Linked DNA regions of Arabidopsis thaliana. The protein of the gene in region 2 interacts with the protein of the main gene of each other region in a pairwise test. Each region holds a gene or a part of one and is shown on either strand. Other genes may lie near its edges. The genes, in order: MORF9, MEF1 and MORF1.

Region 1 (10,916 bases), on a different chromosome or scaffold from region 2:
TTAATTATGTAAATATGAAAAAACTATTTTGATATAATCAAATTTTTGAAAATTTTGCATAAGAAAAATATATAACTCAACTATTTTCATCAAAATATCAATAAACCTTTCCAAAAAATAGGCGATAGGAACCAGAATGAAAGAGGAAATAGCCATTCGATAAGCACCAATGATCATATGGTTCACACCAACATCAAGAGCTTTCTTCACAAGTGCATTCACCGAACCCATCGCTACTTGTGATGTCACCATAACTATCATCGGTGGCCATTTTGAGACTACTTTCACTCCTCGCATATCCTCACCCATCTCTCCCTCGTTCTCTCTTTCTTGAATTCTATGTGAGTTTGTGTGTTAGAAAGAGTTAAGACCCAAAGTACTTTGAGTTTGGCAACCACCCTTCCCATATTTATAACTTATAAGAAAGAGTACTGTGTTTGGGTTCTGTCATTTTAATAGAAAAAACCCCTGAATTATTGCTCTATTATATTAACTTAGTGGTCTTTCTATCAAAAATAAATAAATAAAAAACTTAGTGCTGTCAAGTTCAATTTAAATAATATTAGAATCTTGTTCCACATTATGTAAAATTATAAATTACAAAATAGTTCAAATATTTGAACAAGTTGAATGTTCCTACACACAACTAGCTTAATTTTATTTACTTTTCTGGTCTAAAAAAACTTTCTTTTTATATAGGATAAGCGTTTGTGAAGAACAAAGCACTACTACAAACCCGAGCATATTATTAACTAATGAAAGAACAAAATTAGTAGGATACTTAAGTTTAAGAAGTCGTCACAAATATAACTGCTCATGCGGTAACAATCTTTTTTTTTTCCGGTCAATATGTGTATATTTACTGTTATATTTATTTATTTATTATATAGTAGAAATGAGAACCGATACATTGGCTTTATCACACGTTTCATGAGGCGCCGATGAATTAGCTTTTCCATTTTATACGTTATATGAGTAAATGAGAAACCGATACATTGGCTTTATCATGCGTGTTATCTGCCGCGCACCTTATTAATTAGCAAAATGATTTTCATAAAAGAGAGTCGGAGAGATGATGTAACTGAGTTTAGTGAGAAAAAATAAGTCATGCAAACCCGAGCTAGTTGGTATATCTAAATCTATACTTCGTGTAATCTAATGACACTTAAACATTTGTAATCTAATGACACTTAAACACTTGCATGCCCGTCTCCGTCTGGTCGTATAGGTTCAAGTTTGGGTTCTTTACTTTCAATTGTAATTGGACTGACTCAAGGATTTGTTGAATTTGGTGCAAAATAGGAAAAAACACGAACTTTTCAACGAGATAAACTAATCATATGTAGTAAATAAGTACTATATGAGATTTTGCAACTCTCATTCAATAACTTTTTGCGTGCAAATTTGTTTTGTGCCCATTTTGAATTATATTCGATCCATTAATTATTCTCTTTTGTCTTTTCATTGGATCCATCTTGTTTTGCACTATCTCGTTTTTGTTAATTATAAATGCGTATAATTAGCTCTATATTTGAACTTTTAAAGTTGATGAAAAAATTATATTATCCCCATTTGGGTATATCGAACTCTTTCATTCCTTTAGTTTGTCCATATAACTTTGTAGGGACAAAAAGCAGATGCTATTTTTAGATTCAGTAAGTTATCTAGAAAAGGCTTAGAACATAATGGACGGGGCATTTTCTCTCCAGTAGTGCAGACATATATATTCCTTCTACTAATTAGATCAATTCACCAAATATAATAACAATTGAGTTAGTGGTTCTAATGATGTTAAATTTTTTTTATAAAAAAGTTGTCACAAAAGAAAAGTTAGTGGTTTTGACTTAGTTCTAGAATAAATTTACAAGATTGGTATATAATATATTCTATCTTTTCATATTAAATCATATCTAAAGTTTTTCACATAAATTAAGAAATAATAAAAAAAATATTTTGTTTATTTTATATATATAAATTGTTAAAATAAAACTAATTCAACTAGTAAAAAACATATTCTATTATATAAATGGTTACAATCAAATATATTTAAACTTTTGAAAACATCACTTGAAATAAGATAAACAAAATTCTCTGGATCATCATTTAAAACAAAACAGAGAAAGTATTCGATGAAATTAAAACAGTATAACCAACAGCTCAATAATTATTATACTTTTATAATTTTTTTTATTTTTTTTTGAAAAAGGGTTTTATATATGGTGAATTAATCTGATTATACTACATATAACTAAATTGGAAAGGGATAAGAATAAAAAAAAAGAAGTAGACGTCTCAAAACAAAGTTAAGCCTCCATGACGCACATGTAAAGCTTTCATCAATCATTTTAAATTTTGTTTTAGTTAAGAAGTAGCATGTCATTGAACCTTATTAATATCGCGTGTAAATACGGTATTTTGTTTTGTTTTCTGTATTTGCATATTGTCTATACGTAGTACAGTTTTGAAAATTCCATATACTTACATGCTCAGGTAAACAAGTTATACATCCACAAAAATAATTTCTGCAAAAAAGTATATTTACACATAATTTATTAGTCAACATGTTAACGTCTCAAAAGAGTTTCCAAAAACACAAAAAAATGATATTCTTTTGAATCGGGTACTAATTTTCATTTAAGATAATCAAGAACCCCCATGGTGTTCATTGTTTGTTATTACTTATTAGAGTGTTCTTCAACTTCAGCTAATTCATCTTTATCGTTGACTTTTCTACTTCTACAATTTCTTCTGCACTTGTACTCACAGTGATAGATATTAGATATACCATGATACAATTCTTTCATTTATTTGGTGTTTTTCACAAAGAAATGTATATATACCAATAATAATTACGATGGATACAGTAATCAATTATCACATCGAGTGTAGTATTTAAAGATTTTAGATTTTAAACAAACGTGTTAAAGAGAATGTTACAAATAGAAAGGTTGAAGATAGATTTTGCGTGCGACGTTTTATTATTAAGTAACCCCTCCTCGTTATACAACAGTAAATCTCATCTCTTGTGTAACAGATACTAAAAAATCAGGTTCATCAATAATCAAAAGAATGTTGTTCTTACCTCACATTGACACAACTGATGATAACTAGGGTTGTTAATACATCCGGTAACCATAAGAGGAGACCTCGAACTGATTTCTTTCGCTCCGATTCTCGTAACCGTACGGATATGAATCCCCGAAAAGGTGATCGGAAGTTGTCTTCCACGGATCAGAATCGTTGCTTTCCCAGCAAGAAACAGCAGCCCCACGATCTTGTTCATCTTCCTGACGTCTTTTGTTACGTAACACACAAGGAAAGTAACCTCCAAATATAACCTCACAGAGATCGGTCGCTTCTAATCCGTAACCAGACGGAACATACAAAGCTTTCACTTCTCCTTTATCTACGACTTCATATTCCTCATTTCCATAGCTTGAACTGTGATCTTTTTCTTCTTCTTTAGCTTCCTCATCCCCTTCTTCTTCTTCTTCATCATCATCATCACCATCATCTTCGTCCTCACTTTCTTCATCATAATCTTCGTCTTGTTCTTGTTCTTGCTCTTTAATGGTTTCTATTGGTTTGACTTCTTCTACCGGTTCAGCAAAAGACACACGTTTCTTGACAACATTCTTTTGACCACCATCATAAATTCCAAGAGGAACAGGAGCAATAATCTCAGGAGGAGAGGGAGCTTTAGCGTGAGGAGCGGTTGAACAAGGGTAACAAGTTTCCACCGATGGAGGAAGAGGTTTTCCATAGGTTGCAACAACATCGTAGCCACCACCGTACGGCGTGGGATCGTATTCATCGAATTCCGGCTCGTTGAAGTCAAGAGCAGAGGCTACAGAGCAATAGATACTAAACTGAGGAGGAGATTCGTAGGTTGTATAGAGATTCGGATCATAGAACAAGTGTTTAGGCTCAGACATGGTAGAAACAGAGTAAGCAACATATGCAGAGGTTGTCTCAGACTCGGATCCATTCCAGTTATAACAATTATAACTCATTGGATCATCATAACCAGAGTAAGCAACATATTCAGATTCAGATTCAGATTCATTCCAGTTGTAATAATTATAACTCATTGGTTCGAAACCAAGCTGCTGCTGCTGTTGATTGTAATGATAATGATTTTGATCGTAGAGATTATTAACCTGATTGTAATCGTAAGGACTCTGGTAATTCTCATAGAAGTTGGCCATTTGAGAGAGCTTGAAGGATGATCTTGAAAGTCTTTCTCTGCGGTTGATGAGAGAAAACGATTCAGCTGAGCAGTGATCTGTCGATTAAACTAATTTGGAATGTTTGGTTCCAAGTCCGTGAGAGAGTAGTGTATTATTTCCATGTGATGTGTTGATAAGGTAGGGACGACTGATGTAGATGGTGAGTTGGTGACGAGTGTGTGACCCTACAATTGTTTTGTCTTGTCTGAAATTGGTGTTGAGAAAACGTGGGGAAAAAGCAGTGGTTGACAAAGAATCAAACCAAACCAAAACCGAACATTACCTAAATAAACAAATGGTTCAAGTTGAATTTCATCCTAACATAACAATAGCTATTGTTCAAGGTGTGATGATACAGTATCATCATTTGGTACTAGACGATTTTACACACGACTTCAACAAGCTAAGTGCTAACCAAAAGATCAAAACTTGCAAACACTCCATTATCTTATTATAGTTTAAGAGGAATCAGAGGCTGCTGGTTCTTGTCTTGGTTTCCTCTGTTCAGGAGGTGGAGGACCGTCTCTTTTTCTTTCGTATCTCTTACTTTGATACTTAGTGTTATTGCGCTGCTTTGGTTGGTATGTTGGGTATGTGCACGGGATAATCTCTCCATTGATGTACTTGTCGCCTAAACCCGAGAAAGAACGATTCAATTATCAGAACATGGATACTGGGAGAGAGAGAGATCCTAGAAAGTTTAAAATCAGGCTTTGATGGGTTACCTCCATAGTCTTTGTTCTTGACATCTATGTAGGAGTCAGGCAAGACCCAGAGAACTCCAGGCAAACCTGTGAAAATAATGAAAAGACAGAACGATCAGTATCTTGAAGGTTTTCGACGAACTTTCAATAAGGGGACTAAGGCTCTTCTTGCTCACTAACTAACCCTTGAACTTCTCAGATGTTTCTTCGTCGATGGTGCATTGGAATCCAGTATATGTCGTGGTACTGAATGCATACATGTTCTTCTTCGCCTCTTCCATGCTGGAAAATAGACACAAGTACATATAATAAGCAAACACGATGAACTGGTTATGCTGGAAAATGGACACAAGTACATTAATTGGTTATCACATCAGCAGGATAGTGTAAACCGGAATCAAAGTTCTCTAAAATAGAGAGTAGCACCAAATAAACTAAAGTTTTAGTCATTAGTTGTGTAACACAAACTCGTTCCCTGCCATACCAAGAAATTTCTAGTCAGGAGTCCCAATCTAATGCTCTGCACAATTGTACACTCCTTTTACATACATTACTAGCTTACACTGTCCACATCAAGTTTTTAACAAACAGAAACCATGCACAATCACCTACAATTTATACATAGCTTGAAGAAAATATGCAAAAATAGATGCTTCTATTCTTCCCCCTAATTTCATTCATAATTACGCTAAAGAGCACAAAGTTTTAGATATCAAATCAGACACCAATGTTTTGTGTTCAATATGCAGCAATGTTCAATAAGTTTGCACATATCAAGAGACGAAAAACAAGTCAGCTAAAGATTACACCTGATATTAAGAACAAATTCTGGAACTAGGTCAACTTCAGAGCAAATTTAAAGCTGAAAGCTTTACTCAGCTCACTAAACCCTTACCCTAAAGTATCATCAAAAACCCTAATCTAACAAAAAACCAAATCTTCCTATACGCAACATTGGATTCAATCAAAGGACAAGTCCATTAGCAACACAAGTAAATGTCGTCTATTAGTTAACTAATTCAACAACGAAGAGAATCAATAAGAAAGCGAAAACGAACCTGCCAAGAACAGTAGCAAGAGTGTTAAGGTAAGTATCAATCATCTGATCCCTACTTGGCGCTGGATCTTTAGGAAACTCCATTACAATGAGCCAATGATTGTAATCGCAACCAGGAAGCATAATCGTCTCTCTCTGCTCATTGCTATTGCTCCGTTTCGACGAGTAATCCGAATCCACCGTCGCAGCTTTCACAATCGCCACTCGACGCCGAGACCCAGCGGTGGAGATGTTCCGGAGCAGAGGAGTCCATGAATCGCCAACGCGGATACCAGAGAGTGTAGAGAAACGATTCAGGTGGCTTACGGGGAGAAGAGTTTTGAGGAGAAGCGAGGAAGAAGAAGTTGTTGTGAAGGAAGCCATTGCAATTGCTGAAATCGAAGAGAGAGTTTTGGAGAAGATAAGATATATTTTTACTTACCTGCTTCGTGATGAGGATCCTATGAAACGACACCGTTTTTAATTAGGCCCATTAGATAGTTTGGGCCTGATAATTTCTTAAATCATTTTCTCATAATTTCAAGCGCCAAAAAAAAAGAAAAGTAAATTGGGAAAGAAAAAAAGAAAACACACTTTCCCCGATGTGTATCGTGAATATCGACACTAAGCACAGACACAGTAGCACTGTGTTTTGGTTGCAAAAAGTCTCCTTCATATAATCATATCTATGGTTTTCGGGTTTCAGCAGAAAAGTCTTTTTTTAGATTTAGGGTTAGCAGAGCAAAAATGAGCCGTTATTAGTTTTCATTCAAGGGTTTTTGAGATGGAGCAGATGATATTCATTAGAAAAGACGACAAAGTAGAAGTTTTTTCTGAAGAAGAAGAGTTAAAAGGGTCTTATTACAGAGCGATTCTGGAAGATAATCCAACGAAATCAGGACACAATAAGCTTAAAGTTCGTTACTTGACGCAGCTCAATGAACACCGTTTGGCTCCTTTAACGGAATTCGTCGATCAGAGGTTCATTCGTCCTGTCCCGTCGGAGGATGTGAACGACGGCGTCGTTTTTGTAGAAGGCTTGATGGTCGACGCTTATCTCAAAGATGGGTGGTGGACTGGTGTGGTGGTAAAAACAATGGAGGATGAGAAGTTTTTGGTTTACTTCGATTGCCCACCAGACATTATTCAGTTTGAGAAAAAGAAATTGAGGGTTCATCTTGATTGGACCGGCTTCAAATGGATCCGACCTGATAATAAGGTATGATGAGTTTTTTTTGAAATCGTTTCGCCTTTGCATGAAAAAGTTGTTAACTTTATCCGTTGTTGTATGTTTGTTTTTTGTCTTTGAAGGAATTGGTCAAGTCTGTTTTTAGTTGCGGGACAATGGTGGAATTGAGATTTGATTGTGCTTGGATTCCGGTAATTGTCATTAAGGAGTTGGAGAAGGACAAGAGGTTTCTTGTCAAGTACTGGAATAAGTCCTATAGCTGCCGGGAATCGAAAAATTTAATTGTTGATTCCCTAAGACTAAGGCCTATGCAGCCTCCTTTATCTGTTGGAAAGTATGAATTGCTGGATCATGTAGAGGCGTTTAGTGGTTTTGAATGGCGTCAAGGTGTGGTCAGGGGAATTGTCTTTGAGGGAAGGTACATGGTAAGTTTCGGGGCAACAAAGGAGGCATCGCAATTTAATCACTCTGATATTAGGCCTCCAATGGAGTGGGAAGATGGAGTTTGGCATAAAAGAACAAAGGTAAATTGTATCACTAGTTGCAGGCAACATTGTGTTGGTTTGGTTTAATTAGTGTGACATCTTTGAGGATTAATTGAAGTGTTGTTATGTTATTTCCATTTTCAGCCAAAACGCCAGAAAGAAACTTCTTTAGACGGCAACAGAAATGTGCAGACAAAGGAACCACCGGGAAATGAGATGGCTGATGATGTGGTATATGGTCATAACCCTGCTAGTGGATTCTTTTATAACCTTGTTTGTTTTCTACGCCCTGAAATTGTTCTATGGTCTTTGTTTTCCAGAAAAAAGAATCTGGTTTACCTATAACCCTGGGGGTAACTGCAACAAAGAACAAAACCCAAGGAAAGGTATCCCCTGTGCCAATGAAGAATGGCTTTGGAAATGAGTCAACTCGAGAGAAGGTATTGTTTATGATTGTTATTTATCTTTGAGATGGCTCTCCTTTTGGTTTAACACTTCTATGCACAGATGCCTGAGGAGCCTAAGATCAAATATTATACTCGAAAGAGGAAAAGAGGAGGTCTAAAGCTCAATTCATACATCAATAAGACTGGTATGTCTTAACTCTCATTGCACATTCTGGAATGTAGGACCCGCTTGCAATGGTCTCATTGTACTATTACTGGTAGATAAGCCTTTATTTTCTCATTGTGTTGTGTATGCGTTCATCTGTCCAGTGTTATCCTCGGATCGGACCCCCAATGTGGTGAAGAATTCTGCTTCTAATGCTGAGGAAAACCATGCAAAACACACAATAATGGTTTTGCCTTTTGCAAAGAAGTCACCGGTCTGGAAGACTTATGAATCACTGGAGGTCTTCAAAAGTGTATCACACAGTCTTCATTTCAGCCCATTGTTTGAGACTAAGCAAGATTTCCGTGAAGGGTATGCAATAGGTATGATGGTGACTTATTTTGGGTTACTGGAGAAATTTAAAGATCTTGAAGCCGACGTTCCTGTAAGCCAACTAAATAGCCTTAAAGATTCATTTTCGGAGCTCGAGAAACATGGCTTCAATGTTACAACTCCATTATCACGGATCGACAAGCTGTTAGCACTCAAAGATAGACAACTATATATAATGGAGGAACTAAAAGGTTTTGACAAGGAGATGACAAATGAATTTAGCAAGGCTAAACAAGAGTTTGATGACATGGAACAAAAGATTCTTGAGGTGAAACACAAGATTATCGAGCTGCAGAGGCAAGAAGCTGCTCTAAAAGAACAAAAGGAAGCAGAAAAAGAACAGAAAGATGCAGCCTGGAAAAAGATATGTCAGATGGAGTCATGTGCAAAAGATCTCAATGTAGAGCTTGAAGATGTGGAGTTTGAGTTTGAGACAATTTTGTCGGCTCCTTGGTAAGTTAAGAAAAACAAACCTATGGTGAGCACTTTCTAAGTTGATTTAAAGATTTTTATGAGATCATTATTAATATGGTTGGTTAGTGGTTGATAAAAGTCGGGTTATGTAGAGAAGAAATGAAGCTAACCATGTAATCCCCTGTATAATGAGGCTAACTTTTCTTTTCATTAGGTATTTGTAAACTTTATACAAATAAGTTTGCATACGCTTTAAACACATAATTTTCTATATAACAAGTATTACTATAAATTGATACCTATAGTCTTCTTAGATTATAAAGAAGAGGAATACACTTCTTAACGACCTTGAACATCGGTGAGAGTAACGTCGTTAATAGTACTGCTGGTTTCTCCGCTGGGCCAATTATCTGAGCTGCCGCCAGTTTTGGTGTTTCTCCTCCTTCCCGCCGTAAATGCAGGATGCTTCGGAGATGGAAGATCAATGGCGTTATGACCTAACATGAAGACAACAGAGGACATGTCTGGTCTGTCTGAAGAGTTTTCTTGCACGCAAAGTAACCCAATGTGTAAGCACTTCATTACTTCGCCCTCATCATACGTCTCTTCACCCATTAATTTGTCTATGATCTCTATAGCTTCACCATTTTCCCATCGATCCCAAATCTACAAGACGAAGAAACAAACGTTTGCTTATGTTCTGTTTTGCTCCTCTGTATCCCCAAGTTATGTCAAAGAAAGGAAGAAGTTTTTACTTACATGTTTGACTAGATTCAAAGATTCCTCATAAAAAGCACTGTTTCTCTTTCCGGTTATGATCTCTAAGATCAATACTCCAAAGCTGTATACATCGGATTTAATAGAGAACTGGCCGTCCATTGCATACTCTGGTGACATGTATCCACTGTGACAGTGAGATTGAAACGACCTTAAAGATTGAAAAAAAGAAATTGGAGAGTTTTGTGGGGATGGATTGATATAGTAGATTAACTCACTATGTTCCGACGACTCGATTTGTGCTTCCTTCGATTTGGTTGCCTCCGAAGATTCTAGCCAGGCCGAAATCCGCAATCTTCGGTATCATTTCATTGTCAAGAAGTACATTGCTGGCCTTAAGGTCTCTGTGGATGATCCTCAGCCTTGAATCTTGATGAAGGTATAAGATTCCACGACCAATCCCGCGGATTATCCCCATTCTTTTTGGCCAATCCAACTCTGCTCTTTGCTCTTCATCTATGAGAACAACAAGGAGGAAAACAAAACAGGAAAGCAAATTCGAAGTCACTGATCGTCCTGAATGGGAGAAGTTGAATCTATAGAGGAAATGTTGAAACGTACGGAATATGAAATAGTCTAGGCTCTTGTTTGGTAAATACTCGTATACCAACATCTTCTCTTCAAATTCAACACAACATCCTAAGATCCTCACGAGATTTCGATGCTGCAGCTTCGATATCAACTTGACCTCGTTCTTGAACTCTTCCATTCCTTGACCTGAGCTTTTTGACAACCTCTTCACTGCTATTTCCATACCATTTTGTAACACACCTTTATAAACAGGTCCAAAACCACCTGCTCCAAGCTTGTTTTGAAAAGCAAAATTATTCGTTGCTGTAGCAATCGTGCTAAGCTCAAAGAGAGGCAACTCCCGGCTTCTTGATTTGTCCTCAAGCTCTTCAAGTATGAATGAGTCTTCAAGATCAAAAGAGCTCGGAGCGAAGCTTGATGGAGCTTTTCTAAGCCTGTTAGACTCTGCACTTGTGAAAGTGTTCAATTTGTTAGCTGTGATCTAAGCAAGCAAACATATAATCTTAAAAAATCATCATCAGAGAATTTCTTACGTGTTCGTTGTCTTCGCTTCCTTAAATAACAGTGAAAACTGATCAGTAGTAACATCACGACTGCAATCAAACT
Region 2 (11,253 bases):
ACATGACTTATTTAGATAAACGTTTTTGGTAGTTTGCAAGGTAATGCAGACTAATATTTTCTGTGGGTTTATTCTGTCAAGAGATATGATTAGAGACTCATTCATTTCTCAATATTCCAATTCACTAGTTTAGGAAATTAATATAATCTTGAGGCTCACGCCTATTACTTGTATATAAACAAGCTCTGTATCTCTTTGTGAAATACATCAAACATACATCTTCTACATATCCGTTGTCGTAATATTCTTGTTTGAACTCTAAACCAAAACTTAGATCGGTTTGGTTTACTCGCCGGTTGTTGCGCTCTATGACGAACTTTTATATAAACTCGTTTACTCGCCGTTATTACAACTTACAACTTCTGCTCATATTATTTAATACTCATGCGGTGAAGAAGAAACAAGACGAGGAGATGAGCATATATTATTATTACATTAAAATTATTACAAAGGATTCACTTGGACAAGACTGACCAACATTTATATTTAAAAAAAAGAACTGACAAACATTATACGAAAGAAGAATCCATTAACTCATGTGATCATGCAAGATCATCACTCTTCTTGTTCTTATTACAATAACATAATACTTTCAACGTAATCCGTGAAAGTAAGCACTAAAGATGATCGATCTGAGCATCTGATCCCTCCGAGCCAAACTTCCCTTGAACGTTTCATCTTGAGATCAACATAGACAAGATAAATCTGATAAAATCGATCATGAGCTGTAACTATAAGCTCATCACTACCAGCAACAAAACCCACCGCACCTAGCCAAACAAGATCATACGAAAACATCTCTCGAGTTAAAACGATAGAAACCTTAGACCATTCTTGTTTCCCGGCATCTTCCAAAACCCATAAATCATACATGCTCATACTTTTTGCAGCAAGTAAAGCTAGTTTCCCTTGATAGTTCACAAGTTTAGAGTAACCAAAGTTCATATCATAAACATTACTAGCCCCGACCGGTATTTCAATGAAATCACCAAACTTTTCAGTAGCCACGTAGAATCTAACAAGCCTCAGTCCATGCGCCGTCTGAGCACCGTAATACACAACCCCATCGATGCATATTCCTCTGGTTGAGGGAGAAGGAATATTCTCAACCTCGATCATTTTCCATGAACCTTGACCTTCCAATGTAAACACTTCCAGTTTATAGGGAGATAATAAATATTGTTTTGAGAAAAACAAAACCTTGTATTGATAATTGATAGGATCATATCCCATATACCATTTCCTGAACTTTTGATGTGGAGCGGATTGGGGCACGAGTACACCCTTACGCGTGGCAGGATTGGATATCCACAGTTGAGACATGTATTCGACACATATCAAGCCATTGACACAATCAGGCGTATGAGAAGAATTATTGGCGCTGCATGTCGCCTTGGTAACCAAAGAAGGTTGGGATGACGAGAAGAAATGCCAACGACAAGATGTGAATATATCACGTAAAGCAAACATGACATATGGCTGACGAGTAGAGGATCGAGATTGGTATAAGTTGATGAAATATCGACTGCGGATGATTGTGGCCCAAAGCTTGCACACACATAGGCATCTAGCTAGGGGTTTCACAGGCAATCTTAAGAGAATTTCGACCAAAAGGTCTTCAGAAATCATACTTGATAAGAAAAAAGTTTAGTATTTTTTTTTTTTTTCTGTTTGATAAGATAGATAATCTATAAATCAAGATTCTATCTTATATATACAAATGCAATGGGAGAGTAATTTGCTTAGTCATTAATATATAAGATTGACTTGACTACATTTTTTTAAAAATGTATATTAATTAAATTCGTATCTAAATGATTAAGTCAATACAATTAATAACCGCGACTAGCTTTTTGTATATTACTCCCTCGGATTCATTTTGTAAGACTAGAAATGCGTGGTTTTAATACTACACTATATTATTTTGAAAAATTATTTTATTTACAATTTCTGTACTTAAAAAATATAAATGGAAATGAATAAGTGGATAATCATCTAAAATTATTTTAATTTTGAAATTTTGTTTAAAATAAAATATCGACTGTCGATCTGGTGAAACAGAGCTTGGACTGTCTTATTGTGTAGTCCGGTTGTTGCGCTCTATCTCTCTCCAAAGAAACAAAAAACGGTGGGTTGGACTTAATAATCCAAGCAATTAAGCTTGTTGTTCAAATTTTAATCACCACCTTTCTCAAAAGAGAGTGTTAAGCCTTTGACGAAGTATGAATCGTTAATTTGCACAAGAGTAAAGAATTATATGCGTGTCAAAGTTTTAGTGTTTGAGAATGATTATAAGCTGTCTTGATACTCAGTTAATCATCATATATATAAACAAGAAGAGTGAGTTCACAAGTGTAGATTTTATATTATACTTATTTTTGGTCAAAACCAAAGTGTAGATTTTTTTTTTTGAAGTTGGGGACAAAGAGACGGATGTCGTTTCGGGTATAAACCTATAATTTCTTAGAAACGAGAACACAAAATTGATAGAGAGATCTTAAAAAAACCTTATAGACTATAATATCATTTCCAAAGAGAAGTTTTATGAAAATGCATTTGATGGAAGGATATAAAACATTATCATGTGTTCAAGTAAAATAGAGAAGAAAACCTGGGAAAACAAATTGCCAACAAATGATGAAGCTCACAACAAAACTTGTCTGATGAAAAGTCACATTTCCAAGTAAACTACCTAGACTATGAGTTATATAAACTTGACATCTTCTGCATAGTCAACAAAGGTGTAAACTCTACTACTAAGATTCTTCTCTGACCCTTCAAAACCTTGGATTTCAACTTTTTCCAGAGTGTTTCTTTCGGGGTTGAAGTAGTAAACAAAGAAGGATTCCGATGTATAATCCATGGATAAAATAATTTCACCAGTAGCAGTCACTCCAACAACGGAAACATTGCCGTGAACGATATTCACCGGCAAAGTGTATTCACGTTTCAACCATTCTTCTTTCTCGGCATCTTCTAGAACCCACAACCACAACATAAGTACCTTCCACCGAAGCGGCTTTGGATAAATTTGATTATCCCATAAACAACTAAGCACGCATAATTTACCCTTGTAATTAATCAGTTTAGCAAGCGCAGGACAAAAGGTTACGTCAACATCCGCATTAAGAAACTTAAGTGTTTCATACCTTACATTAAAGGAAGCTATCTTCACACCACTGAACTGGAATTTGTTGCTAGCCATGTAATACAACACCCCATTGATGCATATCCCTTCACTTTCAGGATAATGGTCTACGAGACATCGGATACTCCTCCATGCTACTTTTCCAGTTCCTAATGTCAGAATATTTTCTGGATCAAAATGTGAACTGCTTGGTGTGATTACCTTGTATTTTTTGCCAATCGGATCATACCCTAATAAGCTGCTCAAATTGTTCATACTACTCCTTTGAGTTAATCTTGCGTATTGTCCCGTGCTAGGGTTACATATCACCGGCACTTCGCCTGTACGCGTATTAGGGAAATAGAGCAAACCAGAGACAAGGCCAAAAATCTCTTGTCCCATGTCTCTACGTAACTCCATATGAAAATCGGCTGATACTACAAGAGAATGATTCTCATCTGGAAACTGAGACTGAGGCGACGAGTACAAGCACCACTTATCAGAATTTTGAACCGCGAATAAGAGACGTGGACGACTCAAGGGCCTAGTAATTAGGAACAACTCAATGAAATCTTGACCTCTTAGTATAGATCCACAGAACTTGGATGCGAGACCAAACTTAGCGATTGAATTAGTAGACAATCTCGAGAGTATATCGAGAATGATATCAATCGGGATTGGATCTGATTTTCCTTCTCTTTCCATCGTACGTTTTTCAAAGATCGTGTATTTTGGATTTTGGTTCCAGTTCCAGTTCCAGTTCCAGTTCCAGACTTAACGTAGACGACAACCTAGGGTTCAAAGGCAATTCATTCATACCTAATGGGCCGAATGAATTCATGGGCCATGTTAGAGGCAACTAAAAGGCTGGACGAAACTATCTATTTTAGCCTTTTAGGGGAGGTAACGTATTAATGTCCCCAACTATCTTTTATAGGATGCATAGTTGGTTTTAACTAACATTAAAGGTGTTACTAACAATGGGCAATGATGGTAAAATTATAACGCAGTGGACACAATATAACTTAGCCATACCAATGCAAAGAATCTTGAAACTAGTATTAAACTCAGTCACGTATATGCTCTCCAGTCTATGCTTCGAAGAGCTTTCTTCTAATCCCATACGAAGAAGCTCTCTATGTTTTTCTAATTTAATCAGGCTTAGACAACTAGTTTCAAAGTCATAATTCTTGGTGTCTGAGTTGTCTTCCCTTTCCATCGAGTTTTTTAAAGATCGTGTCTTTTGGTTTCCAGTTCCAGACTACGTAGGCGACACTTCAGGGTTTCAAAGGCAATGGCACTAAAAGTCACTAATGGGCCTAACGACTTAATGGGCCTTGTGAAACGTTACCCAATAAGAGACCTGGTTTCTCACTGAGTTCAACCATCTTCTTCCCCATGGCTCTGAATTCTTCAGCTTTCTTCGTTCCATGTCACAATTACAATCAAATCTGTGATCTTCTTCTTTCTTCAGCTCGAACCAGATCAACTATTAAAGGACTTCAGCTTCATGGCTATGTCGTTAAATCAGGCCTTTCTCTTATCCCTCTCGTCGCTAACAACCTCATTAATTTCTACTCCAAATCACAGCTTCCGTTTGATTCTCGTCGAGCTTTTGAAGATAGCCCACAAAAAAGTTCGACGACTTGGAGTTCAATCATCTCTTGTTTTGCCCAGAACGAGCTTCCATGGATGTCACTCGAGTTTCTTAAAAAAATGATGGCGGGAAACCTTAGACCTGATGATCATGTTCTTCCATCAGCTACAAAGTCGTGTGCGATTTTGAGTCGTTGTGATATTGGTAGATCAGTTCATTGTCTATCGATGAAGACTGGGTATGATGCTGATGTGTTTGTGGGGAGTTCTTTGGTTGATATGTATGCGAAATGTGGAGAAATTGTTTATGCGAGGAAGATGTTCGACGAAATGCCTCAGAGAAATGTTGTTACTTGGAGTGGGATGATGTATGGGTATGCACAAATGGGTGAAAATGAGGAAGCTTTGTGGTTGTTTAAAGAAGCTTTGTTTGAGAATCTCGCTGTTAATGATTACTCGTTTTCGAGTGTTATTAGTGTTTGTGCAAATTCGACTCTACTTGAGTTAGGTAGACAGATTCATGGATTGAGTATTAAGTCTAGCTTTGATTCTTCTAGCTTTGTGGGAAGTTCTTTAGTCTCGTTGTATTCAAAGTGTGGTGTTCCTGAAGGAGCTTATCAAGTTTTTAACGAGGTGCCTGTGAAGAATCTCGGGATTTGGAACGCTATGCTCAAGGCGTATGCGCAACATTCACATACTCAAAAGGTTATTGAATTGTTCAAAAGGATGAAGCTTTCTGGAATGAAACCAAATTTCATAACTTTTTTGAATGTGCTCAATGCTTGTAGTCACGCGGGTCTAGTTGATGAAGGGAGATACTACTTTGATCAGATGAAAGAATCGAGGATTGAGCCGACGGATAAGCATTACGCTTCCTTGGTGGATATGTTAGGACGAGCTGGTAGATTACAAGAAGCACTTGAAGTTATCACTAATATGCCGATTGATCCCACGGAATCTGTATGGGGAGCTTTATTAACGAGTTGTACAGTCCACAAGAACACAGAGCTTGCAGCATTTGCAGCAGACAAGGTCTTCGAATTAGGACCAGTGAGTTCCGGTATGCACATTTCGTTATCCAATGCTTATGCAGCCGATGGTAGATTCGAAGACGCAGCTAAAGCTAGAAAATTGCTTCGAGACCGAGGGGAAAAGAAGGAAACAGGGCTAAGTTGGGTTGAAGAAAGGAACAAGGTTCATACATTTGCAGCTGGAGAAAGACGTCATGAGAAAAGCAAGGAGATATATGAGAAGCTGGCTGAGTTAGGGGAAGAGATGGAGAAAGCGGGTTACATTGCAGACACAAGCTATGTTCTGAGAGAAGTGGATGGTGACGAGAAGAATCAAACCATAAGGTATCATAGTGAGAGATTAGCTATTGCTTTTGGACTGATCACGTTTCCAGCTGATAGACCGATCCGAGTAATGAAGAATCTGCGTGTTTGCGGTGATTGCCATAACGCGATCAAGTTCATGTCCGTATGTACGAGACGAGTGATCATTGTGAGAGATAATAATCGGTTTCATCGGTTTGAAGATGGCAAGTGTTCTTGTAATGACTATTGGTGAAGAAGACAAATGAGAGTTGGTTTATATTTAACCATAATTTCATTCAGTTCACACTGAACCGGCGAAATTTCTTTGCCAGACCTATTCGGAATTGAAACAAGTGGAGTCTCGAAACGAAAAGAACTTTCTGGAATTCGTTTGCTCACAAAGCTAAAAACGGTTGATTTCATCGAAATACGGCGTCGTTTTCAAAGAACAATCCAGAAATCACTGGTTTTCCTTTATTTCAAAAGAAGAGACTAGAACTTTATTTCTCCTCTATAAAATCACTTTGTTTTTTCCTCTCTTCTTCATAAATCAACAAAACAATCACAAATCTCTCGAAACGCTCTCGAAGTTCCAAATTTTCTCTTAGCATTCTCTTTCGTTTCTCGTTTGCGTTGAATCAAAGTTCGTTGCGATGGCGGATGTTCAGATGGCTGATGCAGAGACTTTTGCTTTCCAAGCTGAGATTAACCAGCTTCTTAGCTTGATCATCAACACGTTCTACAGCAACAAAGAAATCTTCCTCCGTGAGCTCATCAGTAACTCTTCTGATGTAAGTTTCCCTTCAAATCTCTCTCTGCTCGGTGTGACTCGTCCGCTTCCTATTTTCTTGCATGTTGTTTGTTCTTTAATTCCTGGATTCGTTGATAGCGTTGGATTCGTAGGTTTAGCGTTGTGATTGCTTATTCAAATAAATCGTGATTTGGCTTGTGCATCACGTTAAGTTTAGAATTCTTAGCTTGTGCTCGATCTTCATGTGTTGTAGTTACATATATAGAACGGTTCTTGCTTCGATGTAGTCTTTGATTTACCCTAGAGGATTGAGGAAAGCTTCTGATTATCTTTGTTTATATGAATGGTTTTGTAGGCTCTTGACAAGATCCGATTTGAGAGCTTAACGGATAAGAGCAAGCTCGATGGACAGCCTGAACTCTTCATTAGATTGGTTCCTGACAAGTCTAATAAGACGCTCTCAATTATTGACAGTGGTATTGGCATGACCAAAGCAGGTAACGAATCAATGCCTAATAATCTCTCGTTGGTGAGATGTTTTAGTGTATGTGCTGTGGTTATGACTCTCTATTATTTTTTCAGATTTGGTGAACAACTTGGGAACCATTGCGAGGTCTGGAACAAAAGAGTTTATGGAGGCGCTTCAAGCTGGAGCTGATGTAAGCATGATAGGACAATTTGGTGTTGGTTTCTACTCTGCTTATCTTGTTGCAGAGAAGGTTGTTGTCACTACAAAGCACAATGATGATGAACAATACGTTTGGGAGTCTCAAGCTGGTGGTTCCTTCACTGTCACTAGGGATGTGGATGGGGAACCACTTGGTAGAGGAACTAAGATCACCCTCTTCCTTAAGGACGATCAGGTAAGGAATCGTAGCTTTGAGTGTTTTGGGGATTGTTTCTTTTCTTTTGGTGTTTTCTGTGTTCTTACAAGTGTGTTTATTCATGCAGCTTGAATACTTGGAGGAGAGGAGACTCAAAGACTTGGTGAAGAAGCACTCTGAGTTCATCAGTTACCCTATCTACCTTTGGACCGAGAAAACCACCGAGAAGGAGATCAGTGACGATGAGGATGAAGATGAACCAAAGAAAGAAAACGAAGGTGAGGTTGAAGAAGTTGATGAGGAGAAGGAGAAAGATGGTAAAAAGAAGAAGAAAATCAAGGAAGTCTCTCACGAGTGGGAACTCATCAACAAGCAGAAACCGATCTGGTTGAGGAAGCCAGAAGAGATCACTAAGGAAGAGTATGCTGCTTTCTACAAGAGCTTGACCAATGACTGGGAAGATCACTTAGCCGTGAAACACTTCTCAGTGGAGGGTCAGCTAGAATTCAAGGCCATTCTCTTTGTACCAAAGAGAGCTCCGTTTGATCTCTTTGACACGAGGAAGAAGTTGAACAACATCAAGCTTTATGTCAGGAGGGTGTTCATTATGGACAACTGTGAAGAGCTAATCCCAGAGTACCTCAGCTTTGTGAAAGGTGTTGTTGACTCTGATGACTTGCCACTCAACATCTCTCGTGAGACGCTTCAACAGAACAAGATCCTTAAGGTGATCAGGAAGAATCTAGTGAAGAAGTGCATTGAGATGTTCAACGAGATTGCTGAGAACAAAGAGGACTACACCAAATTCTATGAGGCTTTCTCCAAGAATCTCAAATTGGGTATCCATGAAGACAGTCAGAACAGGGGAAAGATTGCTGATCTTCTACGGTACCACTCCACAAAGAGTGGTGATGAAATGACGAGCTTCAAAGATTACGTCACAAGGATGAAGGAAGGTCAAAAGGACATTTTCTACATCACTGGTGAAAGCAAAAAGGCGGTGGAGAATTCTCCCTTCTTGGAGAGGCTGAAGAAGAGAGGATACGAGGTACTTTACATGGTGGATGCGATTGACGAATACGCTGTTGGACAATTGAAGGAGTATGACGGTAAGAAACTTGTTTCTGCGACTAAAGAAGGCCTCAAACTTGAAGATGAGACCGAAGAAGAGAAGAAAAAGAGGGAAGAGAAGAAGAAGTCCTTCGAGAATCTGTGCAAGACGATTAAGGAAATTCTCGGGGACAAGGTTGAGAAGGTTGTGGTCTCAGACAGGATTGTGGACTCTCCCTGCTGTCTAGTAACTGGTGAATATGGATGGACTGCAAATATGGAGAGGATTATGAAGGCACAGGCGTTGAGAGATAGCAGCATGAGTGGTTACATGTCGAGCAAGAAAACAATGGAGATCAACCCCGACAACGGTATAATGGAGGAGCTCAGGAAGAGAGCTGAAGCAGACAAGAATGACAAGTCTGTTAAAGATCTTGTCATGTTGCTGTATGAGACAGCTTTGTTGACGTCTGGATTCAGTCTTGATGAACCGAACACTTTTGCTGCTAGGATTCACAGGATGTTGAAGTTGGGTCTGAGTATTGATGAGGATGAGAACGTTGAGGAAGATGGTGATATGCCTGAGTTGGAGGAGGACGCTGCTGAAGAGAGCAAGATGGAGGAAGTCGACTAAGAGATGAAGAAATTGCTCTTATGGTTCTGAAAACTTCTAATATGTCGAGTTGTTCTGAGTTTTAAGATTTTCCAAAATGTCTTTGTCTTTTTTTTTATATCTTTAGAGTTACTTGAACATTGTGACTACTTCTAGGGTTGGGTTTGTGTCAGGTCTGTTATATCGTGTGGTGGGTCTGTCTAATACTGATTCAAGTTTTTGTTATTCAGCTAAGGAACTTTTCTTGTTTCTGAACAAATCTTTTGGTTCCCTAGAGTAAAACTTGACTTCCAAAAGATAGACTTCCTAAGATCACTGGAATAGATAGGAGTGACAACTTGACGTGAAAGGTAGCTTGGCTATAGTAATTTTAGATCTGACAAAACGAGATCAAGAAGTTAATAATTTTCACAACACCAATTTGTTATCGCTTAAAGGTTGATTGATTTGTTCAATAGGGGGAATCATATTCTCGCATGCTCGAAAAGGGGAGAGAAGATGGAATGAACATAACTTTAAATCGGATGTTTGATTCAACAACAAAACTAAACTCAGATAGAGATTATGAAGGATTCCGGAATCTGAATTACAAAAGCAAAATTTAAAGCTGAAAACTCCTCCATGGTCTTACTGTCACCTAAAGACATTTCTTTTTCAAGGCAAACCTGAACCAGATGGTGCAGCTGCGCTGTAGCCACCAGCACCACGGCCAAAACCACGGCCACTTCCCTGATAAACAAGAAAGGATGTTAGAACAATGGCAACCAAACAAAGAGAAGGCGGGTAAATCAAATCACAAGGCAATTATATAACTATAGACTTTGAAACACTTCACAGCTAAAGTAAAAGATTTATGTTCCTTGTAACTAAAGTGATAAAGAGAGACTAAATATGTTCATGGTTTCTCAGGTTCAGGAGCTCTATGATAAAGACTTCAAGAGTAGCACATTATATGACGTTGGTGAGATAGAGAAGTAAATAGAAGGTATGGTCAGTGAGAATTTACTTGGAAAGATGGCTGGTAATCTGCGGGAGCTCCACCCTTTTCACCTCCAAACTCACCACCAGCTCGAGGACCTGCACGGTACCCATCACGGTCACCAAACCTGGGACGGTCTCCTCCTTCATGGCGAGGTCCTCTGAAATACAAAGAAACCCAAACCATGTCAAACAAATTAAAAAAAAAAAAAGTTTTTGCCAGACATGAAATGGGTTAAGCAAAGAGTTAATCACCTTGAGCGATCACCAGGTGGGCCACCAAATGGACGACCACCAGGCTTAGCTGACTTCTTCAAAGTAGCAGGAACAACATCAGATGGAAGATTAAGATAAGTTCTCAAGAACTCGATCCCTTCATTGGTCAAAAACCAATAGTAATGCATCCAGGCAAATGTCTCCCTAACATACTCCTTGGATTTGAAACTCTGCATAAGCTTAATCACTTGTAGGTTGGGGACATCGATCAACGGATGCTTAGCAAGATTGAAATCCTTCTTCGCAAAGCAAACTCCTTCTGCAAAAATCATAGAACATATGATAATCAACACAATGTTCACCTTCTAAGCCAAACATCATAATTGCTACCATAACTAGTTAACCTAAACTAGTTCAAAAATCACAATGTTCATCGGCATAAGCCTAAAAATGAATCAATTTACTCACAGAAGCTGAAGAAAACAGAGATCTAAGAACAAATTTAAGAAGAACGAACCTTTGAAGAGGTACTTGCAGATTTCTTTGCGGTTAGCCTCTGAGATAATCTGAGAGCAAGAAGGAAGAAGAAAATGGTCAAAATTCAACGAAACAACATTCTGAGACACCGGAGAATATGATGAGAATAGAGAAATAGATCAAAAGCAGAGCTTGTGTGTTACCATTGTATCGGTAGGAGATCTTGCTCGAGCAGAGAGTCGCACGGAACTTCGAGAGAGCAAAAAACTAGGGTTTTCGCAGGACTAGAGAAGACGATGACTTTA
Region 3 (11,052 bases), on a different chromosome or scaffold from region 2:
AAGATAAAATGATGTAGGCCGTACCCGGTCCGCGCGTGTACCAAGTGATATCATATGGTGCCGATCCCACAGGGAAATTGGATAGCACGGATGCAATATTAAAAGCTATGGAAGAAGCATTTGATGGTCCAAATCATGGAGTTTTGATGCAAGGTATAAATGATCTCGGAGGAGCAAGAATTGATCTTCAAGGTGGAAGCTACTTAATCAGCCGTCCTCTACGGTTTCCCTCAGCCGGCGCCGGAAATCTTCTTGTAAGTATCTCTCTTATTTTCCTATCTCATTTTTTTTTTGTCAAACTATATTAAATTTATTCATTGCAAGAGTTTTATTCATTGCAAGTTTACAAATAGAGTTAGATTTTTTTCCTACGTGTGATTTAATATATCGACAAAAGTCATGTTTCTATAAAAATATGTCTTCTTGGCCCGTCTTTGTGACGTGATATGACATTTCATCCATATGTTAAATAAAGTATCTAAAACATAAAATAGCACAACCTTAATTTAAACGTAAACTTGATTAAAGATGCTATTAGGTTTGGTGAACTAATGGAAAAGTAATTAAATCTTTTTTCTCATTCACGAGAATAGACTGATTCCTTTCTTTCTATGCATGTTTCTTTCATAATTTCAAACATTATGACCTTTTTATAACTTTCCAACAAAAGAAGTTTCGTTCGATTTAAAATTAATTATTTATGAGATTTACTTCCTTTTTTTCAAAAACTCCTTTGTTACAAAAATTGAAAAATTCTCTCATTCCACATTTCGTTACATGTTTTCTACGTTAATAATTTGTTTATTCCATTACACATACATTTTCTATGTCGAAATATATTGATGGTTTTGTTTGTTTGTTGACTTGTGTGACACGTCAGATAAGCGGAGGTACATTAAGAGCATCAAATGATTTCCCGGTCGATAGGTACTTAATCGAACTCAAAGACGAATCGTCAAAGTTACAATACATCTTCGAATACATAACTCTCAGAGATCTTCTCATCGATTGCAACTACCGCGGCGGAGCAATCGCCGTCATCAACTCTCTCCGGACAAGCATAGACAACTGTTACATCACACGGTTCGGAGACACGAACGGGATTCTTGTCAAAAGTGGACACGAGACTTATATCCGAAACTCGTTTCTTGGTCAACACATAACCGCCGGTGGAGACAGAGGAGAAAGAAGCTTTTCCGGCACCGCCATCAATTTGATGGGAAACGATAACGCCGTTACTGACACCGTTATATTCTCCGCCAGGATCGGAGTAATGGTATCGGGACAAGCTAACTTATTGTCCGGCGTGCATTGCTATAACAAAGCAACCGGTTTTGGAGGAACCGGGATTTATTTGAGATTACCCGGTTTAACTCAGAACCGGATTGTGAATTCGTATTTGGATTATACCGGTATCGTCGCGGAAGATCCGGTTCAGTTACAGATTTCAGGGACGTTTTTTTTGGGAGATGCGTTTATTTTGTTGAAATCGATAGCCGGATATATTCGTGGGGTTAGTATTGTTGACAATATGTTTTCCGGGTCGGGTCATGGGGTCCAGATTGTTCAATTGGATCAGAGGAACACTGCGTTTGATGACGTTGGCCAGGTGGTCGTTGACCGTAACAGTGTGAACGGAATGGTAGAGAAATCGACGGTGGCTAGAGGTTCGGTAGATGGAAACGGGACGTCTTGGACCGTTGATTTTAACCCGGTTTTGTTGTTCCCGGATTTAATCAACCACGTGCAGTACACACTTGTGGCGAGTGAAGCTGGCGTGTTTCCTCTGCACGCGCTAAGGAACGTTTCTGATAACCGGGTGGTCGTTGAGACAAACGCTCCTGTTACTGGGACAGTTTATGTAACAGTGAATCAAGGAGTTTAATGTCGTGTTTTTGCCGTTTAATGGTTTTATAATTTTATAAAATGATTTATACTTGTTGGTTTTTATTTGTAATTTTTCCTGTAAGGGGGAAATTTATTTTTTATACAGCTAATAAATGATAAAAACTCGAAAATTGTGACTACAGTGGAAGAGTTTGGTGGCAGACATTTACTTGTTGTCTGAAGAAGAAATTCAATGCAATGACTAATCTGAAATTACACTAGAATCAAATAAAGCTTTACCTAATGTAATTAAATTTCTACAGAGTTGGTGGCTTATGAAAGATAATCTAAGGAGATTTTGATGCTCTGTATTTTCAAATTTTAGATGTTGGCCATAAAGTAAAATTTATTTATACTTCCACACTCAATCCCCATTTTCAGTATTACTTCAAGTCTTCGACATACTTTATTCTGTAAGTTTTTTTTTTGGCATCAAAAAGTGTGAAAATAAAAGTATCATTTTCTTATTGAATGATGAATACTTATGAAAAAGAAAAGCAAACTTTATGACGAATAAAGCCTGAAGATGTGTTGTAAACAAAGTCTAAAACGAATGATTTTATTTTCTCGTCAAGTAATCATTTTATTTTTATTGATGATTTTTCATACTTCACATAATACTTTTGATATTAGGCCAGTTAGGAATAAATTTTCAAATACTTTGATCTTTCTTTGTTGAACTTGAGCGGTTCGTACGAACATGCTTTGATCTTTTTGCATTTTCTTATGAATAAAGCAAAAACTTCTAAAGTGTTTCTATTTAATAGATTGGAACTCGAGTCGGTGTACATTGAAAAAATAAACCAAAATTTAATAACAGAGATTATTTGCCTTTTAATACATATACACACACGCACATATCTACCTGCATCTTCTTCATAATCATTCCTAAGAAATTCTCTCTCTCACACACTCAAGAACAAGACAAGAGTCAAGAAAAATCAGATGAGTCTCTATAGCTTCATTAGCTTGTTGTTACTGTTTCTCATCACGATTTCAATGGAGTTTAAAGAGACATCATCCTTAAGAAGAGACATGACCAAGCTTTTAAAGCTCCAAGAGAAGATTCAAGAAAGACTCGCAGTCACTCCCACTCTCTCACCAGTGTCTTCTCCTTCTTCTCACTCTCCCAAAATGGTAAAGTCCTCTTGTTCAGTTTCTAATGTATTACAGGCACGTGTGTGTGATTTGTGAGCGTGTGTGAGTTTGGTTTGTGCAGGTTGGGAAGGTGATATACCCGATTGGTTACGGAGCTGACCCTACAGGTGGACAAGACAGTAGTGACGCAATACTTGAAGCTTTAACTGATGCTTTTCAGTTACAAACTGGACTTGAGATGCTGCCACGTGTCGCTGATTTAGGTGGTCTAGTTATTGATCTCCAAGGTGGCAGTTACATGATCGGAAAACCTCTCAGGTTCCCTTCCTCCGGTGGCGGAAATCTTGTGGTTAGTCCCTCATTTTAAAATTTGACTTAAGAAACTTATGAAAAGGTTTGAGTCTTTTAAGACATTGTTCGGTGTAATTCAGGTGAAAGGTGGGACTTTCCGGGCATCAGAACTGTTTCCTGGTGATAGGCATTTAGTTGAGCTTGTAGCATCAAACGCTAAGAAACCAATGAAAATGTCGCCAGAGGAGTCTTTCTCCGATCAGAAAGACCAGAGCTCTGGGATCTTCTATGAGGATGTGACCTTCCAAGATGTTCTCTTCGACTCAAGATTCCGAGGAGGTGGTATTTTGGTGATTGACTCAGCTCGTATCCGTATAACCAATTGTTATTTCCTCCATTTCACAACGCAAGGGATTAAAGTCCAAGGAGGTCATGAGACATACATTTCAAACTCCTTCTTGGGGCAACATTCAACGGTAGGAGGAGACAGAGAAGAAAGAGGATTTACTGGGACAGGAATCGATATCTCGAGTAACGACAATGCCATTACGGATGTAGTGATTTTCTCGGCTGGTATCGGTATCTCTTTGAATGGTGGTGCAAATATGGTTACGGGTGTGCATTGCTACAATAAAGCTACATGGTTTGGTGGCATTGGCATTCTAGTGAAATCACATTTAACGAGGATAGATAATTGTTACCTTGATTACACAGGTATAGTCATAGAAGACCCTGTCCATGTTCATGTCACCAATGCTTTGTTCTTAGGAGATGCAAACATCGTCTTGAGATCGGTACACGGGAAGATTTCCGGTGTAAACATCGTCAACAACATGTTTAGCGGTACCGCCAAAAACAACTTCCCGATTGTCAAGCTAGAAGGAGAGTTTCATGATATTAATCAAGTTGTGATTGATCAAAACAATGCAGAAGGGATGATGCTGAAATCAACAACCGGAAAGGCCATGGTTTCCGCAAATGGAACACGATGGATCGCTGATTTTTCCCCTGTTTTGGTATTCCCTAACCGGATAAACCATTACCAGCATTCGTTTTTCGCTCAATCCGGACAGATCCCTGCAAATGCAGTGACCAATGTCTCCAACAATATGGTGGTTGTAGAAACCGATAGAGCTGTAACTGGAACCGTGTCAATAATTGCTTATCAGTAAAACAACATTCTTCACATTGATCATATTCCTAATAAGAAAGCATGATTTGACATCTGATTTATACAAGTTCAGTTACAGTTTGGTGAGCTTGATACTAACAACTAATACCAGCAATCAGCAACCTCATCATTAGCGGCTTCTTCTGGCTCATCCGACTTCTCAGGTGGACCAGAAGTCCTAGGCAGTCCTTGGAAATCACGTTTACCTGGTTTCGCAATGTCTATATAAATCATTCTGCCATTGTACATCTGCAACAGAGGAATGGGAAACATTTAGGTTGATTTCAAGACATAAAAATGTAAACTTGTGATTGAAAGAAGCTTTTACCCGACGGTCCATGGTCTCTATGGCAAGAAAAGCATCATCTTGAGACGTGAATTGAATAAAAGCATAACCTTTTGATCTCTTCATTGCCTCATCTTTGATAAGCTTAACTGTTTTGAAGTATAAGAGTGAACATATCAATGCCATAAAACTGAACCTTAAAGCAACAAAACAGAGTAAAATTGAAACCGCAAACATACCTTCAGCTATCTCTCCAAAAGCTGAAAACTCTCTCTTTAGAAAATCTTCACTTGTAGAAAACGGTAAATCTACAAATTCAAAGTGAAGAAACATCAGAACCGTAGAGTAATTACCAAGTTGAAGTTACAACCAACTTCAACTTCACTAATGATTGCTACAAGAGCTTAGAGCTATCACATATGACTACCGTCACAATCCTGACTCAAATCAACTAATTTCAATCAAACCAGAATCATAAATTACTTTTGGAACAATAACAGAACCATGTCCTAATCTCAGCTAGAAGCGAATTCAAATATAAACCAAAAGATAATCTGAATCTTACTTCTGACCATGATTTTGCTCGCTAGAGGGTAATTAAAGAGCGAAGCTTTAATCTTTGGAAACCTAAGGTTCCTGTAATTAGGTAGAGAAGATGAAGAAGCCACAAAAGAAGGGAAAGATAACGTCGCCGACCACATAATTCACAGTCGCCGGAAATAGAGAGGGAGAAGAAGAAGAAACAAACAGAGAGTTATAAAACGACAGCGGTATAGTAAAAAGCTAAGGCCTAAGTTTTTTGGCCCAGTGATAAATTTGAAACTTTAGGCGGAAACTAAAAACATTTGAAACAATAAGGACTTAAAAAGTAATTTACTATTTATTTAGATATTGTAAAACCCACACAAAAACCCTAATTTCATTTCTCCAAAGCTTTCCAGAATACTCTCCACTCCTTCATAATTTCTCTGGCAACGATGGCTATGATATCTCACCGTCTCCGACGAGCTTTACTCACTGCGACTTCCTATGTTAACCGATCAATTAGCTCTTCGATCACACCAGCGTCTGATTTCCCTTCTGTGTCGGCGGCGGTGTTAAAGAGATCCGTTATAGGGCGTTCGACGGAAGTAGCTACTCGAGCACCGGCGAGACTGTTTTCAACGAGGCAGTACAAGCTTTACAAAGAAGGTGATGAGATCACGGAAGACACTGTGTTGTTCGAAGGATGTGATTATAATCACTGGCTTATCACTATGGATTTCTCCAAAGAGGAAACTCCTAAGTCTCCAGAAGAAATGGTCGCTGCTTATGAAGAAACTTGCGCCCAAGGACTTGGCATCAGGTTAGTAGATGAATTTTTGTCACTGCTTAGATTCGTTGCTTTTGGCTAAATTGTCCAAAAATCATTCAGTAAGTTACTTAAATGTGAGAACTTTACCATTGCTAGGGTTCCATTCACTGTTATATAGCTCTGCTTTGATTTTTGTGTATCTTCTTCTGGTATTGATATTGGTTAAGACGATTATATTGATTCATTTTTGGTGTTTATGGTTGAGTCAGCGTGGAAGAGGCTAAGCAAAGGATGTATGCTTGTAGCACAACTACTTACCAAGGATTTCAAGCAATCATGACTGAACAAGAATCAGAAAAGTTCAAGGGTATATAGTTCGAATCATTTATGTTTGTTTTCTTTTGAATTCAACTTTTTTCACCAGATATTGACTCTGTTATTGGTATATGTAAACAGATCTACCCGGAGTGGTTTTCATCTTGCCAGATTCCTACATTGATCCCCAGAACAAAGAGTATGGAGGTGAGCTGGTTTTTTTTACAAACTGGTCTTATTTTGGATATTTGTTGTTGGGACTCTATCAACAAAATTATGTTTCTTGTTTTCAGGAGATAAATACGAGAATGGAGTGATAACACACAGGCCACCACCGATTCAGAGTGGCAGAGCAAGACCTCGTCCTAGATTTGACCGTTCAGGAGGAGGAAGTGGTGGTCCCCAAAACTTCCAAAGAAACACACAGTATGGTCAGCAACCACCAATGCAAGGTGGTGGAGGGAGCTATGGTCCTCAACAGGGCTATGCCACTCCAGGACAAGGTCAGGGAACTCAAGCGCCTCCACCATTTCAAGGAGGTTATAACCAAGGCCCGAGATCTCCACCACCTCCATATCAGGCAGGTTACAATCAAGGCCAGGGATCTCCAGTGCCTCCATATCAGGCAGGTTACAATCAAGTCCAGGGATCTCCAGTGCCTCCATACCAAGGAACACAAAGCAGTTACGGTCAAGGTGGATCTGGGAACTATAGTCAAGGGCCACAAGGTGGTTACAACCAAGGAGGACCTAGGAATTACAATCCACAGGGAGCTGGAAACTTTGGTCCTGCATCTGGAGCTGGAAACTTAGGTCCTGCACCTGGAGCTGGAAATCCTGGCTATGGTCAGGGGTATTCTGGACCAGGACAAGAGCAGAATCAGACATTCCCACAGGCAGATCAGAGGAATCGAGACTGGAACAACAATAATCCAGCAGGCCAGCCCGGGTCTGACCAAGTAAGATCTCGATCAATAATGAATCTTGCATCTTTCTTTTTTGATATCCTCATCAGGCATTAAAGTACCCCATTTTCCCCATATTTGTTACTGAGATGGTCCTGTGTTTCAGTTTCCACAGGGAAGAAGGTACTAGACAGAGAGCATGCTGCAGTGAATTGAGCTGAATAAGGAGAGAAGTGTCAAAGGCCTTTTATTAAGTTTTACAGTAAATAGTATTTAGTCATCTTTCTACTTTGTAAGACAATAGTTAGTCCTTTTTTCTCTTAAGTTGAGCTTGTTAACGTTGTTGGTTGCGCTTGTGAAATTGAAACACTCTTTCTAGAAGTTCTTTTAAGACCTAATATGCTTGCTTTACCTGAGACATTTGGAATCGTCCACACTTGTAGCTACTGTATTCAGTCTACTAACCAAAAATCAAACGGAACTTTGAAGACCACTTTGAATAGAAATGATGAATTTTGTAAACACTTGGAGCTCTTTACATGGAGATAATGTTTCTAAAGCTAAAAGACAATACTTTCTTGTTTCTTCTTGACTGGTGGCAGTTTCGGTAATACCCAAGTAGGAGACTCGTTTAGCCACAGTGCTTCACCTGTCTCCTTGTGCTTGAAATCAGGGGCTTTTGCATTTCTCTTCAAAACAAAAACGATATTGGGACAATAGGTCAGTTTCTTGGAAAGATTGATGAAAAACCGAGCAAAAGATATTGGTATCCTACCTTGTCGATTCTATTGTCCCACCATTTATCTGGGTTCTGAACCAAGTCCTTCCATGATTCTTCTCCTACACATATCAGCCCAGATTTCAGTTTATACAAACATACTTGAACAAGTGCCACATAACTGTAAACAACTTTCTTTGTATAGTTGCATAGGAACATGGAAATGACTGGGAACTTTACCTTTAAGTTGTTTTACAACTCTGGCTTTAGGGACTAGAACATCGAACTCGAGTCCTTCGAGTTTTGGCAAAACCCAATTAGGAGCCTTATTGAGCCACAGCGAAAAACTACTGTCCTTGCTTTTGAAATCAGGATGCCTAGGTTTTACCTATGTAGGAGAAAAACCAAGAAGTCAGAAAACTAGTAGAGAGATTTAGCAGACACCATATCAAAAGATTGCGAGTGAGATAAGGATGAATAGTTAAGCACATGGGGCATTTACCAATCCATTGACTTTATTTTCCCGGTGATCCCACCATTCTTTAGGATTTTCAATGAGGTGATTCCAAGAATCTGAAGCTTCATCAATGACTATATCCTGCTTAGCTCTAGCTAGAGACTCATTTAACAAACCATTAATCAGAGCATTGAAAACAAATGTATGCCAGAAAGATTTCACAAGAAAACACATTTTTCATTAAATACATCACAAGAGATTAAAAAGTAGCTCCCTAAGAGCCTTTCTCAGACCTAACACAAGCGCCAATTGAAAATTGTTCATTGGAAATGTTACATGAGACATACCAGGCTGCTTCTTGATACCACTTTCTTCCTTTTCAGATGATGACATAACCATAAATGGCGACGGAGACGGGGACATAGGCTGTATAAAGTTAAGATTCTGGACCAATACCTGTTGTAAAGCAAGTAGCAACCACCTAAAGTTACAAAGGTTCTCTGGAACTTTTCATACATACTCGAGGGATAATCAAATCAACATAGTACTCTTCTCACAAGTATCATAAAACTGATCAAATACTATTTAAAGCTCACACCTGAACATTGGCTTGTGCATAAGTCATATTTGGAGGAGGAGAATCTATAAACAGCTTCCCAGACACATGAATTTGATCGTCTTTGCTTACATATCGAGCTGCGGTTTTAGCTAAATCGCCTTCAAATATTATCGGAATCCTGACAAAACAAAATCCAAAACCTTTTCAAATATGAATCACAAACAAAGTTACAAATAAAAATCTCATCTTTGAGTATAGATTAGAGAGAGTACCAGAAACCAGAGGAATCTGAAGCAGACCTCTGGGAAATAACAGTACCAGCCCAGAATTTGCCATCAGAAGAAGCTTCGAATTGAACTGGTTGATCAACAAATCCAATCAGATTAACCCAATTCGCTACTTCACTCTCGTAAGCTATCTCATTAGGCCGAGGCAATTCATTCTCCGTCGTCGCCGTGACTGACGCAATCTCCAGCGGTTTCACAGGTGTCACTGCCTCCGGAGTTTTCGCCGGTGCTTTGGCTCTTTGTTTCCTTTCTCCATTTCCAGTTTTCCCGCCGACGGCCGCCGCAGTGTATAAACGGATTTGCGGAGAGGTTATCCGTTTTCCGGTAGTGATTTCTGAAGCTCTTGGATAAAAAAATGGCGAACATTCAATTCTTGCCAAGGATTTGGAAATCAAACTCATCTTTTCATGAGAACGAGAGAAAAAATCCCTAATTTGCGAAAACCAAGAGAAACCCTAATTTTGCTTTGAAGGGTTTAAGGAAACAACAAATTGAAGCAAAAGGGGGCAAAATTTTCTCAGGCAAGTAGTAATTTACCGTCGTTTTGTGTTGGCGCGGAGATAACTGTATCTTAGTTATTCAGTTCACTTTGGGCCTTGTATGGGCCTCACTATTATAATTGTTTTGGGTCCATCTCAATTACTTATAGTCGGAGTCAAGAAGCATGTTGCTAAAATTGGTGTAAATATCATATACAGTAGATATAAATATAATAGCCATTTTATTATATAAAACTGGTAGACTTAAAACTATTATCGCATATCGAAAAAAACAATAAGCTAAACGCCATGCACATCAAAACACGTAGAATAATTTGATTTCAGTCGTCATTTCGTAAATTGACATGTAAAGACTAAAGACAAACGTCTCACCTTTCACGCTATAGCCGTAATTTTCAAAACTCATAAAAATACAATAAAACGTTTTTGTTTTGTTAGGTGATACAATTAGAATTTAGCTATGATTATATTGACTTGGTCGTTGTTTTGCTTGTCGAGGATGTTAATTGTCCTTACTTGATGCTCAAGAGTCGCTTTTATCTTTTCTTAATTTTAACAAGTGCAATCACAACAGTTTGCTGTCATAACTAGAGTAGATCTATACTGATATTGAAACTAAATATCGAAATATATATATATATATATATATATATATATAACTTAATATTTGTGTTAATTAGATCATTTCAAATAGTTTTAAAAGAAAACTATAACAATTTTCGGGGATAACGGAATTTGATAATTGACACGGATCCATAAGATTAATCATTTACTTTACTCCATACCCTTCTTTTGAACAAACCTTTGGACCACACGCTTTTGGTTATTTTGCATTACATCATACAAATGTATATTATATAATGTCTCTATATATAGATTTTGCTATATACACGATATAGTTCTATACATAATCCGTAGGACGCTAAAAAAAAATGCGTCATGGTCAACTTGTGGATCAGGTCAGGCAGTTACTAAGAATTAATCGGTATTTACCTCCATACAAGATCAAGGTGATCGACGTTATGAACGTGTATGGCGATGTGGTTCGCCTATAAGGAAGAAGCTCTCATCTATTCTTTTATTGGCTTTTTGTATTCAACAAAATGTTTGAGACAACGCTTATGTCAAAAGTTTTTCTCGAAATAAATTTTATGTTTTAATCAAAATAAAAAATTAGAGGTTTCTTTTCAAATTACCATTCTCTTTTTTTTTTTTTTTTTTTTTTTACGGAGTTTACGATATGATATACAATTTCTTACTTGTTTGATGATTACCAAATTCGTTA

What was found.
Region 1: the proteins of MEF1 (region 2) and MORF9 interact in a two-hybrid assay, tested with the Arabidopsis thaliana proteins (one study listed by BioGRID).
Region 3: the proteins of MEF1 (region 2) and MORF1 interact in a two-hybrid assay, tested with the Arabidopsis thaliana proteins (one study listed by BioGRID).

The regions. Positions count from the first base shown.
Region 1 is NC_003070.9:3,842,710-3,853,625, reverse strand, and holds MORF9 (plastid developmental protein DAG), read right to left. Parts: upstream 6,407-10,916; 5' UTR 6,354-6,406; coding exon 5,992-6,353; intron 5,216-5,991; coding exon 5,118-5,215; intron 5,021-5,117; coding exon 4,955-5,020; intron 4,861-4,954; coding exon 4,688-4,860; 3' UTR 4,402-4,687; downstream 1-4,401. Other genes in the region: UMAMIT27 (nodulin MtN21 /EamA-like transporter family protein), read right to left, coding at 107-309; AT1G11440 (uncharacterized protein), read right to left, coding at 3,117-4,208; DUF2 (agenet domain protein (DOMAIN OF UNKNOWN FUNCTION 724 2)), read left to right, coding at 6,754-7,188, 7,281-7,682, 7,788-7,874, 7,964-8,083, 8,151-8,235, 8,360-9,045; AT1G11410 (S-locus lectin protein kinase family protein), read right to left, coding at 9,342-9,668, 9,762-9,906, 9,998-10,235, 10,341-10,754, 10,844-10,916.
Region 2 is NC_003076.8:21,345,850-21,357,102, forward strand, and holds MEF1 (mitochondrial RNAediting factor 1), read left to right. Parts: upstream 1-4,525; coding exon 4,526-6,292; 3' UTR 6,293-6,484; downstream 6,485-11,253. Other genes in the region: AT5G52610 (F-box and associated interaction domains-containing protein), read right to left, coding at 574-1,629; AT5G52620 (F-box associated ubiquitination effector family protein), read right to left, coding at 2,705-3,832; HSP90.1 (heat shock-like protein), read left to right, coding at 6,708-6,830, 7,146-7,287, 7,373-7,653, 7,742-9,298; AT5G52650 (RNA binding Plectin/S10 domain-containing protein), read right to left, coding at 9,932-10,006, 10,284-10,416, 10,511-10,790, 10,989-11,037, 11,152-11,154.
Region 3 is NC_003075.7:10,840,744-10,851,795, reverse strand, and holds MORF1 (multiple organellar RNA editing factor), read left to right. Parts: upstream 1-5,648; 5' UTR 5,649-5,710; coding exon 5,711-6,078; intron 6,079-6,296; coding exon 6,297-6,394; intron 6,395-6,483; coding exon 6,484-6,549; intron 6,550-6,635; coding exon 6,636-7,363; 3' UTR 7,364-7,394; downstream 7,395-11,052. Other genes in the region: QRT3 (Pectin lyase-like superfamily protein), read left to right, coding at 18-254, 881-1,885; AT4G20040 (Pectin lyase-like superfamily protein), read left to right, coding at 2,833-3,024, 3,107-3,334, 3,417-4,448; AT4G20030 (RNA-binding (RRM/RBD/RNP motifs) family protein), read right to left, coding at 4,550-4,696, 4,776-4,882, 4,973-5,041, 5,299-5,434; PTAC9 (plastid transcriptionally active 9), read right to left, coding at 7,807-7,935, 8,022-8,086, 8,205-8,352, 8,467-8,572, 8,765-8,877, 9,020-9,158, 9,253-9,668. UniProt on the Arabidopsis thaliana protein: Involved in organellar RNA editing. Required for the processing of numerous RNA editing sites in mitochondria. Binds to the mitochondrial MEF19 and MEF21 factors, two pentatricopeptide repeat-containing proteins involved in RNA editing.